3 linked regions of the Oryctolagus cuniculus genome follow. The protein of the gene in region 1 interacts with the protein of each later gene in a biochemical or structural test. Links are inferred from orthologs where the notes say so. Each region holds a gene or a part of one and is shown on either strand. Other genes may lie near its edges. The genes, in order: RAB11A, RAB11FIP1 and RAB11FIP4.

Region 1 (4,136 bases):
CTTCACTGGGATTGTTTCCACTGACAATCAGCTGACGCCTAATTACTACTGACCTCCACCGAGAGGAAAGAAAGGGCGGTGAGCAAGACTGCACACCCAGATGCTTTCAGAACAAGTGACTTAGACTGGACCGGTGTCTGATACCGTGTTTGTCAACAGGAACTACAGCCGCTGCCTACTTCATTTATGTGTCCCTCGGGATCTTACCCATGTTGTGCGTAAATACTTAAAGAACTGCAGTTTTTAAAATAAAAAGTCAAGCTTCAAAAAATAAAACCAATCCCCCCAACCAAAAGCTTCACTGCTGAGCTTGAGTGAAGATTAATGTGCAAGAACAAATACGTAATTTAGAATAACTGTCCTACGCTCCCCACATTAGATTCCCATTTAGACCACGCCGTCCCACGCTGATCCAAACAACCCTTCATTTCCAACTGGTTAGAGTTACAAATTAACTCCACTTCCTTCAGCTATTAAGTCTGCTAGGTAAGACTTCTTTGAAGTAGAGACAGCAATGGTTCATCTCAGTGACCAAATCTCTGTAGAAGGAAACCATTTTAAAGTAAAATTATTCTTGCCTAGCTTTAAAATGAGAATTGTATAAATAAAGAGACTGGCTAAATAATCAAGCATTGAAGTTAAGAAAAAAAAAAGGTGACTCATATCCTGTAAGAGCTTCGAAGGCATGGAAATCCTCCTCAGCAGAATTTTTAAACACCATATTTTAAACAGCACAACAAGATGAAGCCCTAACCCATGAACATAAAATAGTTGAAGTTCCTACTTCTATGCTTCTTTAATAATATGTAAATGCTCTTCCGTTTAGAAATAAAGTTCAAAAAACGGACAAGATCCACAGTAACTTCCTTCAATGCACTGAGCCCTCACAGGAGCTAAAGTCGTAACTGCCCGGCAGGCTTGATCAGCCAGTCCCGGAGTTTGCTTCAGAGCTGGGGCTCCAAACACTTAACTTTCCCAAGGTCGTAAACCCAAGAGCAGAGTGGAATGTGAACTCAGGTGTCTGTGGTTCCAAAACCCTGTGCTCTCAATGTTACAAGGATGGTCTAATTCCTGAAACCAGGATGGCTAATATTCTGGGGTTGTTTTTTTCCCCAACATTCCAGTTCCAAACCAATCAGGAGAAAAACCCTGAGAGTCTACCTTGCTCTAAAGTACTTCAAAGGTAGCTAACTGCCCATGACATTGTAAAGGATTTGAAAAACAAACAAAAACCTGCCTTTAATGACTAAACCCAAAAGGCTCCAGGGACTGAAGTAACTTCCCATCAATTCCGACGCCTTCTGCAAAAAGTACACAAACTAATGCAGGTCTCCTTTTCGTCTCTGTAAAGTGAACCGAGTGCCTTTTTCACTGTAATGACTTTCCAACACGGAGGTCGTAGACATCGAAGGTACCCAGCCTATACTCACCCTATACATAGAATATTCCACCTCGGAGGACTAAGGTAAGAGCATATTATCACCGAGATTTGCAAAAGTATTGGTAAAGCAAAGCAATGGTTCCTGCTTCCTTCGGTCAATCATTCTAAGCAACCAATGGCAAAGTCAGAAACAGTCACCGTGCTCACCACTCTTTCAACTCCGCCTCCACGGTAAAGCTTTAATAGCAATGGCTTCTTCCTCCCCGTAATGATCTTTGTTCAGCTCACTACTGATGGCTGCCCTCACTCAGGAGGGAGGACTACCAGAGCCGAGCGCAGCCACTGAACAAAAAGCATTTACTGGACTCGTCTCTTACGGAGAACTGAGCCCTTCACCTTCGCTGATTAAAAAACAAAAACTCTGGATTCTCCCCGACTCCTCTCGCCTCTCCCCACGCTCCAATTACGTACTGTCCAAGGGCACACACGTTCCCCTCTCTGATCACCACGGTTTAAATGGACCCGAAGAGCACACAAGTCCCCTCTCCCTCCTTTTGGGAAAGGTAGGCGGCCCACTAGGGCTCTTCCCTTCCTGTTGGATCCTCCCAGGGTTGCAGCAGGAAGCAACCAGTCCACAGTGATAAAGCAGGCTAGTATTTGTGCAGCGCGCAACCTTTCCTGCTCAGGAACTGGGCCTTCAGGTCTGGCCGGGATAACAGCCACCACCCATCCGCAACCCCTTCCCGCGAGCCGCGTACCGAGTGATCCCGGGTTGGCTGCAGCTGGGTCGGAAGAGGAGTTAAAAAAAAAAAAAAAAAAGGCTAGGTGGGAAGTCCCCGCCGGTCGGGCCACTGCGACAAGTGCACGCAGGGGTGATGGACAAGCCCCCCGGCCCTCGGCACAGAGTTCCCAACTCGGGGGTGGGCGGCGGCCGGCCCGTGAAGGCTGCGCGGCGGGTGGGGTGGGGTGGGGGCCCGAGCCGGGGAGCGGGGGGCGGCCGCCCGAGGGGAGGGGCGACGAGAAAGGCTCGCGCGGGGGAAGGGGACACGCAGGGAAAAGCCCCGCGGTGGGAGCCTGAGCCGAAGGGCAGGCCCAGGGAGCGGCCCGGGGCCTGTCACCAAGGCCGGGAGGGGATGGAGCCGGCCCGGGCTGATGCTGCGAGGGAGAGGTCGCGGGCGGGAGGGGCGCGGGGCCGCGGTGGGGGAGGACACGCGCGCACACACGCGCGCACACACGCACACAGCGAGGGGCGCCGAGGCCTGGCGGGAGGCGGCCGTGGGGACGCCGGTGCGAGCGGCCGTGGGAAGCTCCGTGCGGGGACGGCCGGACGACCCGCAAGGAAAGGAAGGGCTGAGGCAGGCCCATTTTGGGGCTGGGGCAGCCCGCACGCGGGTCCCCCGGGAGTGTCCCGAGCCCCCCGAGGGCGGACAGGGCCGGGGGCCACGGCCTCACCTTTGAAGAGGTAGTCGTACTCGTCGTCGCGGGTGCCCATGGCGCGGCCGAGAGGCGAAGGGGCGGGAGCAGCGGCGGCTTCGGTGGGACCAGGGGGCGTCGCTGCAGGGGTAACCCGAGCGCGGAGCCTCAGCTGCCGGACCGGCTGGAGAGCCCCGCCCTGCCGCTGCGCCACTTCCGGCAGGCCCCAGCCCCTGAGGGAAGTACTTCCGGGGAGGTGGCGTCCCGCCCCCAGCCGGGGACGGGCGGTGCGTCGGCGCCCGCTGTAGCGTCAGTCCTCAAGTCTCACCCTCCGAAAGAGTTTCAGAGGACGAAACCCTGAGTCCCGGCTTCCCAGCTGGTGCCAGTCGTAGTGGCCTCTTGTTCATTTCTGGCACCGCCCAGCCGGGCAGCGGGGCGCGGGAGCGCGTGGAACCCGCTTCTGATGGTTGGGTGTGCGATGGGGGCGGGGTTCTCTAAGGATTAGAGGGCCGGAGCCGGCAGCACACGCGTGGCGGTTCCATGGTGTAATGGTTAGCACTCTGGACTCTGAATCCAGCGATCCGAGTTCAAATCTCGGTGGAACCTGCTCAGCTTGCTTTTTCTTTTTCCTCCCCGAAGTCACATTTTTATTTACTTCACTTATTTGCATTTCAACAAATGTGACATACTGGGTCTTGCCTTTGGTAGGGTGAGAATTAGAAAAAGTAAAATATAATATTCGCCTACGAAGACCTCTGCCCCCTGGGGTGCTCGTCCTTGGCCTCTTCGCCCTCTATAGCGTGGACCCTCTGCCTCCAGCTTTGATTCAGAAGCTTCAGTGAAACTGAATTCCTCTTGCTGGAATTGCCCGTCCTCAGCCTCAGTCAGTACAGGATCCCCTCACCCGCTCCTCCCTGGAAATGTGTCGGATGCTCTCCATACATTGCCACCGTCCTCATCAACAGTCATCAGGAAAGAGTCCCATCTGGTGGCCGCCTACGTCCTCACCGGACAGGCAGAGCACGGGCTGCCCCTTGTCCTTTGACCCGAGTGATCCGCAGAGCTTCCTGGTATTTGGAGAATTCTGTGAATGCCAAAGAAAAGCCTCACAGACAAAGCCTCCCCCGCCCCTTAGTATCACAGTCCCACCGCCTGTGTGCAAACTCAGTTTACACTCTGGTCCAAAAGTGTCTGTGAACTATGACCCCACCCCCTATTGCCACCCCCACTCCCTGCTCCCCCACAGAATGCCCACCGCTGACACCTTGAGTTTCGCCCAGTGAGACCAGCATTCAAAAGTTTGTGATCATTGGTTAGGGCAGGAATAAAAATAAAATCGGGG
Region 2 (3,637 bases), on another chromosome or scaffold:
CCTTGTGTTCCAAAAGATGGGCCATGGAAGACAAACGAGGGGATTTAAGTTACGGTGGGAATCTGGGTGGATGCGAAGGAGCAGGAGCTTTGGGGAAATGCAGAGCTGATGCGGGGTCCTGGCCGTCCCCATAGCAGTGTGCAAGGCCTAGGATCCAAGAATCTAACTTCTGAGTGTCAGTGTACGCGTCTGTAAAGTGGGTACGCTGTCCACCCCAAGCCATTCTTGGAGCCGTACATGCACCGTGCCAGGTGTGCCATGGGTGCTGTGGATGGGTGAGGTTTCTACCCTCCTCTGTCCCCCCTGACCTGCCCTGTGAGCGAGCCCCTGCTGAAGGTGAAAGAGGAAGTTGTGCTCATGTGGGCAAAACCATCATTTCCTTAAAGTCTGGCCCTCGGCTCTTGCAAAGTAGGTCACTGAAAAAATGTCAGGATGTGGGTTCTGAGTCTGAGAGGTAGCGGGCAGCCAGGCCTACGGAGGCCGGGCAGGTGCTCGGCCCCCAATGGTCCTGCCTTGGTGGAGCACACGTTCCCCTCTGGTCTGCCGAAGATACCTACTGGGCTCCCAGGAAGGTGGACGCCGTGGGTTGGGGTGGCCTTGTGGCGTGTGCTGCAGTTGCTTGCAAGTGGCCGAGTGAGATATCTGAATCAGGTTTGCATTGCCCCTTTTTCTAATGATTCGGCTAAGGAAGAATACTTGCCTTCCAGTGTCTCCCTGTCTTTTACTGCGGCAACATACACGTAACATAAAAGTCACGTGGGAGCCGTCTTAGGTGCACAGCTGTGACCTCACACCCGTATGCATCCTCGTGTGGTTGGCACCGCCAGTCCACCGCCAGGACTGCTCCATGTCTCCGGCTCGGGCTCTGTGCCCCTCAAACACTGACTCCCATTTCCCACCCTGCCAGCCCCTGGCAGCCACCATCCTGCTTTCTGTCTCCGCGAATTTGACTACCTGGAGTAGTTCATGTACGTGGAATTATGTTGTATTTGTCACTTTATGACACATTTATTATTATTTTTTAAAGATTCGTTTACTTCTTTGGAAGGCGCAGTTACACACAGAGAGAGGGAGAAAAGGAGACATCATCTATTTGCTGGTTCACTCCCCAAATGACCGCAACAGCCAGGCAGGCTGAAGCCAGGAGCCAGGAGCTTCTTCAGGGTCTCCCATGCGGGTGCAGGGGCCCAAGCACTTGGGCCATCTTTCACTGCTTTCCCAGGCCATTAGCAGGGAGGTAAATTGGAAGTGGAGCAGCCAGGACTTGAATTGGTGCCCATATGGGATGCTGCCACAGAGCTGGCCCCATGTTTATTATTTTTTTAAAATTAATTTTGCGGGGCCAGTGCTGTGGCACAGTAGGTTAATTCTCTGCCTGCAGTGTTGGCATCCTATATGGGTACCAGTTCTAGTACCGGCTGCTCCACTTCCAATCCAGCTCTCTGCTGTGGCCTGGGAAAGCAGTAGGAGATGGCCCAAGTCCTTGGGCCCCTGCACTTGCATGGGAGTCCTGGAAGAGGCTCCTGGCTTCAGATCAGCCCAGCTCCAGCTGTTGTGGCCATTTGGGGAGTGAACCAGTGGATAAAAGACCTCTCTGTCCCTTTCTCTGTCTGTAACTCTAACTCTCAAATAAATAAAACCTTTAAAAAAAAATCAGTTTGCTTGAGAGGCAGAGAGAGAGAGAGAGAGAGAGAGAGAGAGAGAGGTTGTCCATCTACTGGTTCATTCCCCAGTTGGCTGCAACGGCCGGAGCTCTGCCGATCGAAGCCAGGAGCCAGGAGCTTCTCCTGGGTTTCCCACGCAGGTGCAGGGCCCAAGGACTTGGGCCATCTTCTACTGCTTTCCCAGGCCATAGCAGAGAGCTGGATCGGAAGTGGAGCAGCTGGGACCCAAACGGCACCCATATGGGATGCTGCATTGCAGGTGGCAGCTTTACCTGCTATGCCACAGAGCCAGCCCCCCCCCCACCTTTTTTCATTTTTAACTGTGTCTTTTTCAGTTATTCTTTAAAGAAGAGAGAGCAAGAGAGAAAGTATCTTCCATCTGCTGATTACTACCCAAATGCTTTCAATGACTGGGGCTGGGCAGGGGCCGGAGCTGGGAGCTGGGAACATAATCTGCATCCCCCATGGGGTAGCAGGAGCCCAGTGACTGGAGTCATCTCACCTCCTCCTGGGGTCTGCATTGCTGGGCGGCCGCAGTCAGGAGCCGGAGTATCAAGCCCAGGTACTGTGCAGTGGGAGGCAGGCACCTAACTGAAGGGCTCAGTACCTGTCCCTCTCTGAGATCCACCTGTAAGCTCCAGTGCCACTTTCTTAGCTGTTTGCGCATAATCTCTGCGTCCTTACTCTGTTGAGGAAACATACATGGATCAGAAGTGATTTGATGGAATGTCTGTCTCTTTATCTTTAGAAATAGCTCTTTGTTGAATCAGGGTTTTAGGGGATCATACACTAAGTAGTACATCAGATGTCGTCATTGCCGTCTCAGAAATGAGAACTCAGGGCCACCACTGTGGCATAGCGGGTAAAGTCGGCACCTGTAACACCGGCATCCCGTATGGGCGTTGGTTCATGTCCTGGCCGCTCCACTTCCAATCCAGCTCCCTGCTAATGCACCTGGGGAAAAAGCAGCAGCAGATGGCCCAAGTGTGTAGGCCCCTGCCACCCACGTGGGAGACCTGGACGAAGTTCCAGGCTCCTGCTGGCCTGGCTGTTGCGGCCGCTTGATGAGTGAACCAGCAGATGGAAGATCTCTCTCTGTCTCTGTCTCTCTAACTCTGACTTTCAGATAGATACATAAATAAATACATCTTAATAAATAAATAACAGCACAGGTTCTGCCCTCAGCCGGTAAAGAGAAAGGCTAACTCGTGTGTGTGTGTGTGTGTGTGTGTGTACGAGGTTGGTAGAGCAGAGAGGAGGGACCGTCACTGGGAGGTGGGGCATTGTTTCGGGCACTTCTGTCCCAAGGTGACCCCTCACCTGTCTCCCTTTAGGTGGTACCGCTTGAGATCCAAGCCTGGCAAGCAGGACAAGGAGCGAGGGGAGATCGAGGTGGACATCCAGTTCATGAGGAACAGCATGACGGCCAGCATGTTCGACCTGTCCGTGAAGGACAAGTCTCGGAACCCATTCGGGAAGCTCAAGGACAAGATCAAAGGCAAGAGCAAGGACAGCGCCTCCGACACCGCCTCGGCCATCGTCCCCAGCACGATGGCCTCCGCGGACAGCGACGACGAGGCTCCTTCCAAAGACAAGAAGAAGAAGTCCAAGATCAAGACCTTGTTTTCCAAGTCGAACCTGCAGAAGACACCGCTCTCCCAGTCCATGTCTGTCCTGCCGACCTCGAAGCCGGACAAGGTGCTGCTGCGCCCCGGGGACTTGCAGTCCCGCTGGGGCGATGAGGATGAGGACGAGCCCTCCTCTGCCGCCGACGGTGAGTCCCTGCCTCCTCCGCCCCTGGTCTCTCTGCCCTCGTCCATTGTGCTTTGAGAGGGAGACCAATCTGGAGATCTTTATTCAGCTCCCCAGTCCCTAAAATGATGATGGTGACGGGTAATCTCAGCAAAGAGGCCAACTCGATTTCTTTCTTAAAATTTTTATTTATTGGGGCCAGCATTTTTAAGCCATTTGCA
Region 3 (4,117 bases), on another chromosome or scaffold:
TTGACACAAACACAGCCTGATCTCAACAGTCAAGATATAAAAAACTAAAAACAAACAAACAAAAACCCAAATTGCATTAGCGTGAGCGAGGCCGAGGGGCCAAACAACCGGACGCACGGCACTTTCCCAGAGAGGAGCATGGCTTGAACATGACAGCACAAGTGGACATTTTGAGGTCAGACGGGGAAATCTGAAAAAGGTCTGCATATGAAATGAGATGAAAATTTACTGAAGCAGAAAAATAATGATCATTTCCTGGAACAGAAATTAGGTTACAAAACAGTATGCACAGCATGATCTCATTTTATGCAGGAAATCTACATCTAAGCTTAGAAACAGCCCCGGAAGGATCCGCCCGAAGTGTCACCACAGGGCTGCTTGGGAGAGGGGAGTGTACTACTGTGATTTTTCTTGTCCACATCTCTAGTTCCCCGTAGTACGTATCAACTGCTTCCGTAAAAATGGACGATTAGACTTAAAAGGCAAGAAATCCCTGGCCGTCCCCCTGCGCAGCCTCCCTGCCTTGCCAGAGGCCTCTGAAGCAGGCCCTGGGGGTCTCAGGGGCCAGAACCCTCCTGTGAGTGCACAGCACGGTGCACTACTGCACAGGCGGCCCCGCTCGGAGCCACCTGTGCGCATGCGTCACATGCCGAGGCTGGAAAGGTCGGGGGGCGGGGCGGGGGTCTCCTGGCTCAACGCCTTCATGTCGCTGGCACTGAAATGGGGCCAGGCAAATAGCTGAGGGCAGCTCCAGGGCGGCACAGAAATAGCCTGCAGAAAGGAAAACAGGCGTGAGTGGGTGGGGAGGCGTGAAGGGGCAGGAGCACTGCTTTAAGTATTTAAAGGCTGCCACGTAGCGCGGAGACCCACGTGAGTCCCTGCACAGAAGAGCGGTGATGATGTGACGTGCAGGTAGTGTGCGAGGGTCTGGCCTGGGATAAGAAGGTGAGGCTTGAGGGGGCACTGGCTGAGGCTCTGGGGTTCTGGGATGGCAGGATTCAGCCTGAGCTGGGCAGCTTCTGCCCCCTGCCTGCAGCTGATGCCCCCAGAGGAAGGGGCTGCTCACCGGCCCCAGATGCTAGGCACTAGCCAAGCAGAGGGGCTTGGCTGATCCTTGAGGGAGCTCAAGGATCTCGGTGGGAGAGCAAAAGCCCCTAGCAAGGCCCCGCAGAGGGGAGGGCGGACCCTAAGGGGAAGCTGAGGCTTCTTGAGTGACACCTGCCCCACTCTGACTTACTGCTCCCAGGGCCTCCTAGGCACTCATGGACAGATGGTGATCTCCCACCTCCCACCTGCCAGGTGACAGAGAGGCACGGGCCGACCAGGCCATCACCTGGCTTTTCTCCTGTTCTAAGATGCCAGGCCTGCTGCGGACACTGTGGCACAGGGGGCTAAGCCGCCACTCGGGACACCTGCAGCCCAGCCTGGAGTGCTCTTCTGGGCCCCAGCCTCTCAGCTTCCAGCTCCTTGCTGATGCACCTGAGAGGTGGCAGGTGACAGCCCAAGTGCCTGGACCCTGGACACCCATGTGGAGATCTGGGATCCTGGCTTTGTCCTGGCCGGGTCCTGGCTGTTGCAAGCATTTGGGGAACAAACCAGTAGATGGAAGATCTCTCTCTGTCTCTCTCTGTTGCTCTGCCTTTGGCGTAGATGAAAATAAACAAACTTTATATATATATCTGTATGTGTATATATATATACACACACACATATATACATACACACACACACACACACACACACACACACAGTCCTGACCCATCTGTCCTGGGAACAAGATCTCGGCCAGCGCCCACCTGAGGTCTAAGGCCCAAAGCTTTCTGTGCAGGGCTCTAGGTCTTAGGCAGCCATGGAAGCTGCTCAGGACTTGTGTCCCCAGAAGAGAACTGCGCCCATATCAGAACGCGCAGTGCCCTCCCTGTCCTTCCCTAAGGCACAGTCACCAGTCCCAGCGCTGATGGCAGGAAGAGGGCACGCGGTTATTGGGCTTTTGTCCACCCACCCGTAGTACCGGCTTTCTGAGTCCAGCCCTGCTAACAAGAGGCACCGGTGCCGCCTTCCCCCAGATGGGCCTCAGCACAAAAAACCACTCCGCTCACTACCATCGCTAAGTTTGGCTCTGGCAGGCCTTCGGCAGCCACCACAGCCAGCTGCCAGCCAGGCCTGCCCATCAGAGCTCCAAAGGGAGGTGACCGGGCACTGGGCTCAGAGTCCAGCCTGGCCGCAAGCAGGATGTTCTAAGCAGGGTGGGTGCATCCAAGGGGCCAAGGCTGCGGCGCGCCCCCGCTGGGCCCCTCTCCACCTGGGCCAGGCCCAGCGGGGGCGCACAGACCCGGCGTGTGGTCTCCGCAGCATGGGGTGGCGACCTGAAGCCAGCTTCTGACAGCTGCTTTCCCCCCAAACACCAAGTGGGTCTGCAGTCCACTCGCGCGCACCCGCACTGCCGGGGAGGAGAGGCGGGCAGGCAGCCACCTGGGCGTGACGCGTGGCGCTCCCGTCACGGGGCTAAGGGTGGAAGCCGGGGTCCGACTACGCAGGGGCACCGCGGGCTCCAGGTGTTCAGCTGCCGCGGAGGGAAGGGTCGGCACGGGAGGGATTTGTCCCGCGAAGAAAGCCACGGCCTGGGGCCCGGGGAGCGGCCGCGGGAGGGGGCACGGGAGGGTGCCGAGGCCCGGCCGGGCCGCCGCCGCCACCACCACCTTACCTCTTCTCCCTGGCCGAAGCGCAGGCCGAGCGCCGCGACGCGCTCCACGCGCAGGAAGCCGTCGGGGTCGCGGCCGCACACCTCGAACACCTGGCGCAGGCGGCGCACGGAGCGCAGCAGAGCCGCGGGGGCGCCCGCCCAGCCCGCGCCGCCCGCCATCCGCGCCGGCCCCGCAGTCAGCCCGAGCCCCGCGCCGCGCGCCGCCGCCGCCGCCGCAGCCCGCCCCGCGCCGCCGCCAGCGCCATGGCCGTGGCCATCGCCGCGCGCCTGGGTGTGCGGCGCGCAGCCTCCGCCCGGCAGCAGCAGCCGATCCGTGTCAGCTGCGGCGCCGCAGCCCCGCCGCTCCCGGCGGGCGGGGGAAGGGGGGGGAAGGGGAGGGGAGGGGAGGGGAGAGGTGGGGGCCGCGGTGCACGCGGGCGCGGGGAGGCGGTGGCGGCGGCGGGGACGCTGCAGACAAAAGGAGCCGCGCGCCCTCCCGAGCGCGGCAGACCTCGCCGGGCAGGCGAAGGAGCGCGCCGCGAACGGCCGCCTCCTTCGCGGACTCAGTTTCCCCAGCTCGCTTCCTCAGCTGGAAAACCGGGAGGGTAGCCGCCCCGCCGCCCCCGGGCGCAGCAGGTGCCGGGAACTCCCTAGCAGCCCGAAAACGCCCCCCACTCCCCTCCCATGGAGAATTCAGTGGTGAGGCGGGGACCCCGGGGCCCCCAGTACCGCGGGCCCCCACCCTGTGGCCAACCCATGCTTGCTGCCCGCGCCCCTGGATGGCGTTTAGCGTTTCCCAAGGCGGAACCGGGGTTTGGCGCTCACTTCTGAGGCAGCTGGGACCCAGAAGGGTTCCTCTGCTTGGGGGAGGCAGGGCCCGGATTCACAGCCGGGTCGGGGTGGAGCTGGGTGGCTCTGGGGGTGCCGGGCCTCCATGGCCCTGGTCTTGCAGGTTTAAGGACCCATGGGTTTATTTTAAAAATGTATCAGTCCCTATCAATGTTAGGTTATGCCGCAGTCTTGGATTTAACCACTCTATCCTAAAAACACGGATCTCTAGATGCCGCAGAGAGATTGAAGATGTACCCAAGAAAAGATGGTTCTTCAGAACCCCTGTTCCGGCCATGGGAAGACTGGCAGGAGAATCCGAGGCCGTATCATTGTAAATCCCATTTTCTTGTAGAATTGGCTTTCTCTTGGAGACAGACCCTTGGCGCCTCGGGCCTGCCTTGAGTGTCCTGGCTGTGACAGTGCCCTGGCTGCTGTCCTGTCTCCTCCTGCCCTCGGGTGCTCCTGTCAGACTCATCTCCCTCAAACTCTTCTCTGGAGAGAAAACCTCTGGGCTCTCGGGGCCTGCAGACACGGCCCCGCCCTGGCCGGCTGTTTTCTTCTGCCACCTGCCACTGTGGTCTCCAGGCGCCTCATCTCCTCCAG

Evidence for each region.
Region 2: the proteins of RAB11A (region 1) and RAB11FIP1 form a complex in vitro, tested with the Homo sapiens proteins (2 studies listed by BioGRID, with this or other methods). The link is inferred for Oryctolagus cuniculus from reciprocal best matches to the Homo sapiens genes RAB11A and RAB11FIP1.
Region 3: the proteins of RAB11A (region 1) and RAB11FIP4 form a complex in vitro, tested with the Homo sapiens proteins (2 studies listed by BioGRID, with this or other methods). The link is inferred for Oryctolagus cuniculus from reciprocal best matches to the Homo sapiens genes RAB11A and RAB11FIP4.

The regions. Positions count from the first base shown.
Region 1 is NC_091443.1:88,885,938-88,890,073, reverse strand, and holds the start of RAB11A (ras-related protein Rab-11A), read right to left. Parts: upstream 2,874-4,136; coding exon 2,834-2,873; intron 1-2,833. UniProt on the Homo sapiens protein: The small GTPases Rab are key regulators of intracellular membrane trafficking, from the formation of transport vesicles to their fusion with membranes.
Region 2 is NC_091433.1:87,723,837-87,727,473, reverse strand, and holds part of RAB11FIP1 (rab11 family-interacting protein 1), read left to right. Parts: intron 1-2,998; coding exon 2,999-3,438; intron 3,439-3,637. UniProt on the Homo sapiens protein: A Rab11 effector protein involved in the endosomal recycling process. Also involved in controlling membrane trafficking along the phagocytic pathway and in phagocytosis. Interaction with RAB14 may function in the process of neurite formation.
Region 3 is NC_091448.1:42,620,094-42,624,210, forward strand, and holds the start of RAB11FIP4 (rab11 family-interacting protein 4), read right to left. Parts: upstream 2,901-4,117; 5' UTR 2,864-2,900; coding exon 2,705-2,863; intron 1-2,704. UniProt on the Homo sapiens protein: Acts as a regulator of endocytic traffic by participating in membrane delivery. Required for the abscission step in cytokinesis, possibly by acting as an 'address tag' delivering recycling endosome membranes to the cleavage furrow during late cytokinesis.